2 linked regions of the Elephas maximus indicus genome follow. The protein of the gene in region 2 interacts with the protein of the main gene of each other region in a pairwise test. Links are inferred from orthologs where the notes say so. Each region holds a gene or a part of one and is shown on either strand. Other genes may lie near its edges. The genes, in order: RTN3 and PTPN9.

What was found.
Region 1: the proteins of PTPN9 (region 2) and RTN3 interact in binary tests that used the Homo sapiens proteins (3 or more experiments, as listed by UniProt). The two-hybrid records come from large-scale screens. The link is inferred for Elephas maximus indicus from reciprocal best matches to the Homo sapiens genes PTPN9 and RTN3.

Annotation. Positions count from the first base shown.
Region 1 is NC_064825.1:126,882,920-126,886,823, reverse strand, and holds the start of RTN3 (reticulon-3), read right to left. Parts: upstream 2,492-3,904; 5' UTR 2,326-2,491; coding exon 2,184-2,325; intron 1-2,183. UniProt on the Homo sapiens protein: May be involved in membrane trafficking in the early secretory pathway. Inhibits BACE1 activity and amyloid precursor protein processing. May induce caspase-8 cascade and apoptosis.
Region 2 is NC_064831.1:65,482,767-65,486,670, reverse strand, and holds the start of PTPN9 (tyrosine-protein phosphatase non-receptor type 9), read left to right. Parts: upstream 1-1,068; 5' UTR 1,069-1,360; coding exon 1,361-1,423; intron 1,424-3,904. UniProt on the Homo sapiens protein: Protein-tyrosine phosphatase that could participate in the transfer of hydrophobic ligands or in functions of the Golgi apparatus.

The sequences.
Region 1 (3,904 bases), on a different chromosome or scaffold from region 2:
ATTGAGGCATTTAATAGTACTGGGAAAATGTAATGAAAACCTATGTACTTTTAATGTGTGTACTTGGGACAACACTTTAAAATATAAATTCCACTACTTTCTGTAAAACACATAATTTCAGCATTCTTTCCACCATCATACAGTGGCGGGGCGGGGGGCGGGGGGGAAGGTAAAGCCAAGAATAAATAAAAATTGTGACAAGGATAAATGGTATCAGAAACACAAACCAAAGAGATTACATATTAAATATGTATTTCCAATTCAGGGTTTGCTTGGTGGGGTGTACATGTGCGTGTCTGTGAACAAAATATTTTCATTTCACTGGACTATTAAAGAAGCCAATTCTTCCATTACAGAGCATTAAGGGAAAAAAAAGAAGCCAATTTTCAAATGATTTCACCATTTGGCTGCAAATGTTAGGACTAAATTTTAATGCCTGCTAATAAGAATGACCCTCAACATTTAACACTGGTCTTATCTTGAGCACTAAAGGGCAATCCCAAAAACTCAGGTCTGAATCAAATACAGAAAAATCAAAAGGTTTGCACCAAAGGACCAAACAGTAAGCAGAGACAAGTAATTAAAGCCAAAACACCAAGTCGCTAAATAAGAAAGAAGCTGCTGTTCATTTGGATCTTTGCCCAGAACACAAAAATTTGGAGAAACGCTGGTGGTGTGAAGGAAACGAGGGTTCCAAATTTGCTGCCTCATTCCGTTGAGGGCGAATCCTGACCTGCAAAAGCGTCCTCTGATACGGTCTGTTTCCAATGAAATGACCATAACCACACTGGAAAATCCGACCAGGCACCAAAGCTCTTAAACAGGTGGAAATCTACTATCAGCACGGGGAGAATATATTTAAAGCTAAGATCAGAAATCTTATTTCTTTAGAACGATCAACCCAAGATTCTGGCAAAGGAGACAAAGAACCATTTTAAAATATCTCAAATCCTTTAACATAACTAGAGAGCAAAATTATCTAGCTTATGGCCCTTCCTTTAACAAAAAGCATTTTATTTTATTTTTTAATTCAAAGACTCAATTCCTTTAAGAACCACCACCTGCCTGCTCATGGTGCATTTTCTTCCCCTCAAGACGGCATCTGCACTGCAGATCTCTGCATGAGGGGAGCCTGCCAGCCAGCTCCCACCAGCAGGCAGACGCGTATACAATGGAAACTAAAGGCGGCCTGCAGCTTCGCTTCTCGTCTTTCACAGAGATGGGAGGAGAAGGGGCTTCAACCAGCTCCTGCTTTGTCTGAATTTCTCCCCCCGCCCCCCTTTCTGCAGCAAACGCCCCCTTTTGTTACAATGCGATTGATAATAGCCCACAAAAAAAAAAAAAAATACAAAACCCAAACACATTTGATGGCTTCTCATTGCTCCTTATTTATTACCTTCTAGAATATATGCGACTGATTGCATACGCCCACCCCCACGCCGCGCCAGGGAAGAGTGGGCTGTGCTGCAGAGGCAGCCACGGATCCATCTTGGCCCACCAGCTGTTCCCTCCCAAATCTTCCCCGAGCTATTCTCATCACGCCTCTTTAAATCGGGCATGCCACCAAAAATTAAAGGCACAAAAAACAGTAAAGAAACAGGTTTAACTTCCTCATTCTCCCCACGGGCAAAAAAAAACACAAAAAACACTGAAGACTACCATGTCTGATTATGACAACACCTGTCTGCAAATCTGCACTGCAACCTTTCCACCTCCATCCCCTCAAAATCCTAATTATTGCTCCTATCACCAACCTGTCCCGATCCTCTTTATAGCCTCAGTCTCTCTAATCCTCCACTAAATCAACCCCATTCAGACGACTGCGCTTTCGTCGCCCCGAACCTGGCTCGTCATATGTTTGCAGCAATAGTCCATCTAATCCCACCCTCCCCCGAACTGGTGTTTTTCCCCCACCAGACAGATCTTGGTGTTAACGCCTACTCTCTAGGCTACCTCCCCACCCCCAACCTGTTTTCCCCACACCCCGTTATTTCCTCATCGCTTGCACGACCTTAGGCTCCCCTCCCCCTTTGCCCATTTTCCAAACGCTCATTCCCGGGGGCCGAATCCCTCAGCAGCCGAGGGTAGTTTGCCGGTCCCCTCACCCCACTGCGCCCCCCGACTGAGCCCCCGGCCCCGAGCACCCTCCCTCCCGAGGGCAGGGGCTCCCCGGCTCTCCTCACCCGCACAGGAGGAGCCGCAGGTCTTCGCCCCCAGGGCGGGGCAGGCTCCCGGGCTCCCGCCGCCGCCGGGCGCGGAGGGCTCGGCCCCGGAGGACGACGAGGAGACGGACGGAGATTGAGTGGCCGCCGACGGCTCCGCCATGGCTGCGCGAGCAAGGGCGGGAGACGGGTGAGGAGAGATGTGGGGCGGGAGAGAGGGAAGGGAAATAAACTAATCGGGCAGCTGGCGCTCCGAAGTCCCCTCAGCCTTCCTGCTCCGAGGACAGACTCCGACTGACTGACCGACTGAGCCCAGGCGAGCGCGAGAGAGGAGGGAGGGAGGGAGAGCGCGCAGGCGCACAAAGGGCCCTCGAGCGCACGGCGGGGGCGGGCGGGAGCCTCGCGGAGAAGCCAAGCGGCTCAGAGCGCAGGCGCAAGAACTGTCCCTCCGCGCTCTGCAGGAAAGGCGGGGCAAAGCTGGCCTCCCTTAGCGCCCGGCCTGAGCGGCCGGGGTGGGGCGCGCCCCCCGGGAGGGCCAGAGCAAGGGGCGTGGCCGTGCTCCGAGCTCCGCCCGCCCCTGCGGCCGAAGCGGGAGGTGTTTCCTCATATTTATTTATGTAAACTTTTTTTTTTTTTTAGGGTCGGTAGTTTGTGTTTTTAGCGAGAGACGTTTCTTTTTGCTTCCATTAGATGGGAAGTATCTTTCCCATAAATTACAGAGCCGATGTCTTGTGTCCGATGCATTCCCACCTGAGACTATGAAAACTGAAAACCATAGTGTTGAGCAGGCCCACTTTAAAAGTGCTTTATGAATTTATCTAGACGTGTCGTAATGTGTCATCACCATGCGGCAGAGAAGGCACAGTCCCCCATTTGGTAGGTGGAGGAAGATGCTGAGCAGAGTGAAAAACCATTACTCATTCCAATCACATTGCAATGCAGCCGCCAAACCTACTTCTTATTCTTATCTCGTTGCTCTTTCCAAAGAGGGGTCCACTTTGGGTCTTAAGCTTGACCTTGCCTCTGAATAGGCCTTCGGACAGAGAAGACATATTTTGAAGGAAAAGAAGCTGGTCTGGTGAGGAAAAAAAGAGCCAGGAAATAAGAACATCCTGGCTGTGGTTATGGGGGATGATAACGTATTAAAAATTGAGAATATAACACAAAATTCACATAATAGAGTTTTTTTTATTAAAGGAGTACTTAGTAGAAAATATATTTGAAACCAGACATCCAGCTTATACTGAATTTTGTTCATTTTCTTGTTTCTCCTGGGTTGGCTTGCCAAATTCAAAGCCTACATCTGGTCAAGATATTTGCCAGGTGCATAATCCATTTAAAAAGGAGAACGTATCCTGGAAATAATAAAAATCAAGGCCATAGGCTTTGTTATTGCTAAAGCAGCAATCAATGACCTGAAGGGCAATTGCAGGATCAGCAGATCCTGTAAAGATGCAACCTCATGCAGCAGGAGGTAGTCAGCCAGGCGGCCACAGAGGGCAATCCAAAGGGTAGAAATCTTCTAGAACAGGCAGTGGACTCCATCTGTCCTTGACAGTTTTTAAGGTCAGGTAAAACCCAGACAGGAAAAAAAAAAAAAAAACTCCTAGCAGTTGCAATGCTCTGAAAAAAGCACAGAAGAATATTTCCCAAAATAACTTTGCAGTAAATATCTTACCCTGACACTTACAGCATCAGTTGATAATGCAGCAGCAAAGTGCCCCTTAGATGGCAAAGGGACA
Region 2 (3,904 bases):
GCATCCTAGACCTCGCAGGCAACCTTTCCAGGAGCTTTTAGTCAGCAAGTGGCATGGAAACAGACGAGCATTGTGTCCCCTCAACATATAGGTGGTTGCCGCAAATCAAACCTAGCCGATTTGCCCTTCAGACAGTTTTCAAACTCTTCTTCCTACAAGGAGCTTAGTTTAACCTCTTAGGAAAACCACACTCTTTTCTTCCCTTTTCTCCCTCCTGCAGCCCGGAGTCTCCTTCTGTACAGCTCCGCAGCCACCCCTCCTCCGTCTCCCCCACCCCGCGGGCTCCTCTCTCCTCCCCTGTACCGCCCTCTGGGGGCCCCTCTCCGTCTCCCCCTCCTCTCTCCTCCCCTGTACCCCCCCCGAAGGCCCCTCTCCGTCTCCCCTTCCTCTCCCCTCCCCTGTATCCCCCCCCAGGGCCCCTCTCCGTCTCCCCCTCCTCTCTCCTCCCCTGTACCCCCCCCGAGGGCCCCTCTCCGTCTCCCCCTCCTCTCCCCTCCCCTGTATCCCCCCCGAGGGCCCCTCTCCGTCTCCCCCTCCTCTCTCCTCCCCTGTACCCCCTCCGGGGGCCCCTCTCTGTCTCCTCTTCCTCTTCCCCCCGCCCGCTCCGCCCCCCAGGGCCCCTCTCCGTCTCCCCCTCCTCTCCCCTCCCCTGTGCCCCCCGCCCCGCGGGCCCCTCTCTGTCTCCCCCTCCCGGACGACGTCCTCGCTCTGCCGGGCCCTCCTCGCCGCCTGTTTGTGAATGAGACGCTCAGTTTCTCAATGGAGCCGCGGAGGGCTTGGGCGGCCGCAGCTTTGGCCCTGAGCCGGCAGGGGGGCGCCTTCTCCTCGTTCCCTCCCTCCTTCCCTCCCTCTCCCCGCCGCCGCTTTTGAGGAACGAGGCGGAGAGGCGGCCGCGCAGGTCGCCGGGGCCCGCAGCCCGAGCACGGCCCGAGCGGCGGCCTGGAGGCTCCGTCACGTCTGCGGGCGCCGGAGAACCGAGAAGGCCGGTGGCTTTCGGGAAGTTTCCACGCCGTCCTTTGGCTCCGGCCTTGAAAACTTCTTTATTTAATAGCTCCGTTTCTAATCCCGGTTGGCTGTTAGCTCCTCGCCTGCATTTTTTTTTTTTTTCCGGGAGAGGAGGGAGAGTGTGAGGGAAAGAGAGAAGAAAATAAAAAAGGATTTCCGCCCAGAAGGGAGCCGCAGTTCGGAGAGGGTTTTGTGCGCAGACGGGAGCGGGTCTGCGGCCGCCGCGGGCGCCGGGCCCCGCCGGCCGGACCATGCGCGAGCCGGCCTCGGGCTGCTGAGCGCGGGACGCGGAAGCGGAGGCCACAGTCCGGGCTCCCCGGCTCCCGGGCGACTGTGTCCGCGGGGCGGCGGCGGGATGGAGCCCGCGACCGCGCCCCGGCCCGACATGGCGCCGGAGCTGACCCCGGAGGAGGAGCAGGTAAGCGGGGCCGCGGCGGCTGCGGTGGGTGTGTCGGGCCCCCGAGGCCTAGGCCAGCTTCTGCCTCCTCCCCAGGCCGCGCTCCCGGGCCGCGCCCCGCGCCCAGGCCCCGCGCCCAGGCCCCGCAGCGTCCCCGCTCCAGCGCCCCGCACCCCGCGCCCAGGCCCCTAAGCGTCCCCGTTCCAGCGCTCCGCGCCCCGCACCCCGCGCCCAGGCCCCGCAGCGTCCCCGCTTCAGCGCCCCGCGCCCCGCAGCGTCCCCGCTCCAGCGCCCCGCACCCCGCGCCCAGGCCCCGCAGCGTCCCCGTTCCAGCGCCCCGCGCCCCGAGCCCAGGCCCCGCAGCGTCCCCGCTCCAGCGCCCCACGCCCCGCAGCGTCCCCGTTCCAGCGCCCCGCACCCCGCGCCCAGGCCCCGCAGCGTCCCCGCTCCAGCGCCGGGCAGCTGGGCGGCCTCTCCCCCTCCCCCGCCCGGCGGCCGCGCCCAGGGTCGTCGTCCCCCGAGACGGGGGGGCGCCGCTGGACCCTGCCCCTTGCCTCTTTTATCCCCGAGGCTTATAGGTCTTATTTTGCCCCTCACTGTGCCGGGTTTAATTAAAGTTCCTCGAATTGGGGGGTCTCTTTTTCCCTCCCCTCCACCTCCGCGTTTGCAGAACACACACTTGCCCCGGCGGCCCTTTCAAAGCCCATAAATGTATTGCTGCTTTCTGTGAGGGGTTGTGGTTTTTTAAGGGCAGGAAAAGCCCCAGATTTGGGCGAGTGTGATAGGCACTGGGTGCATAGATGCCCTGGGTTTTCACAGGAGCCCCGCAAGCTTCTCAAAGGGCTGTGGCAGGGTTGTCTTGGAATATGCAGACCAGGCCTTCTCATGCTGCCGAAGTCCCTGGCCTTGGCGTCCCTACTCACCCATCCCAGTCTGAGCGCATCCCCTCGCCCTCACTCCCTACCCCAATCTCTTCTGACTGCCTCCATCTTTCTGAAGCCTCCATTGAGTTCCATTGTCCCTTAAAGCTTATGATCTTCAATCCCCAGTAGGAAGTGGTTTGCGGTATCAGTTTGGGGCTTGGGGAAGGGAGAAGGCAGAGGCCATTATGACTTTCCCTCCCCCACATTCCAGCTCTGGAGACACAGATCACTCCATCTGAGGAAGACAGGAAAGTCGGCTGGGTCAGATTGGGAACCTTGAAGGCTTTTCGCTGTATCTTCCTTGGTACTGCCCATACCCAGCCTTAGCTATGCTCAGATATAGCTATAGTCTGATTCCGTTTTTTTTTTAAGACCTGAAAAAAGAAAAAGGTGAACATTTAAAGCTGTCCAGCCCTTGTTTCCAAGGACCACATTTTTTACCATAATCTCTAGCGTGGAGACAATTTAGGTTTACAAAATAATATTGGCTCATAGGCTTAAAACCTGATTAAAAAAAAAAAATCCCTTGACTTTTCTCCTCATTTGTGGAGATGACATTTTTCATGTTGGCCTCAGATCACAGTCTTGTCTTTTGATGCCTTGAGATAAAATCAGCATGGGAAAAAAAAATAGAATTCTGCTGCGTACAAGAAGTGGTAACATCCTGGTAACTGCAGTTGAGTGTTAATGAAACACTAAAAAGAGGGCCTAATGCAAGCAGATGGCCTTGGAGCCCATCCTGTCAGAATTAGTGCAATACCTCAGTACTAAGGTGAGATGTGTTATGTTGATTTTAAAGGAGGAAATCTCTTTCATCTCTTTTTCCTTGGGTTAGTCAGATTTGAAGTTTCTATGTTTCTAGACTTAAAGGCAGCAGTATGCCTACTATGAAAGCGCCATTAGGTTGCAAATTAAAAAATGAAACCAGGGAAAGTGAATATTGAAGCATCGGTAATGGTAATAATTTTATTCTGTATATAGTTTGTATACATACAGGTGTGTTATTTTTTTTTTTTTTTACATTAGAATGAACGCAATGGACAGTAAAGAGGACCGGATAGAAATAGTAAAATGTTTATATGTTAAGGTCAAGAGATTATATGTTATTTTTTCAATCATACCTTTTGTTTTCTACAAAATGCTAAGTTTCCTATATACATCTCAAAATGTTGAAACACTGAAACACGAACATGAAAGCAGAATAGTTATGGTAATGCCTGATGTTCTCATCTTTTAGTTTAATATCACATAAGGAAGAGTACTCTTAACGGTTAAGGTTTCTTTAAAATATTTAACAGGAGCAAATGCATGTTAACCTCATTGAAGTAGCTGTAATGGGAAATGACACACTCATTCCATAATGTTGTCCCATTGCTCAAACCAGTTTTGGAACTCATTTGTAATCGATTTCAAAACTGTGGCAGAATCTTTGAAGTATCTTCTATGTTGGAAAATCCTTGTACTTTTAAAAATCAATTTGATTTCGGGAAGTAGCAAAAAAAACAAATCTGTTGGAGCCCCATTTCATAGGTAAGATAGGGGATCAAACTGGGTTAACACAGTTTCAGGCAAAGTGAAA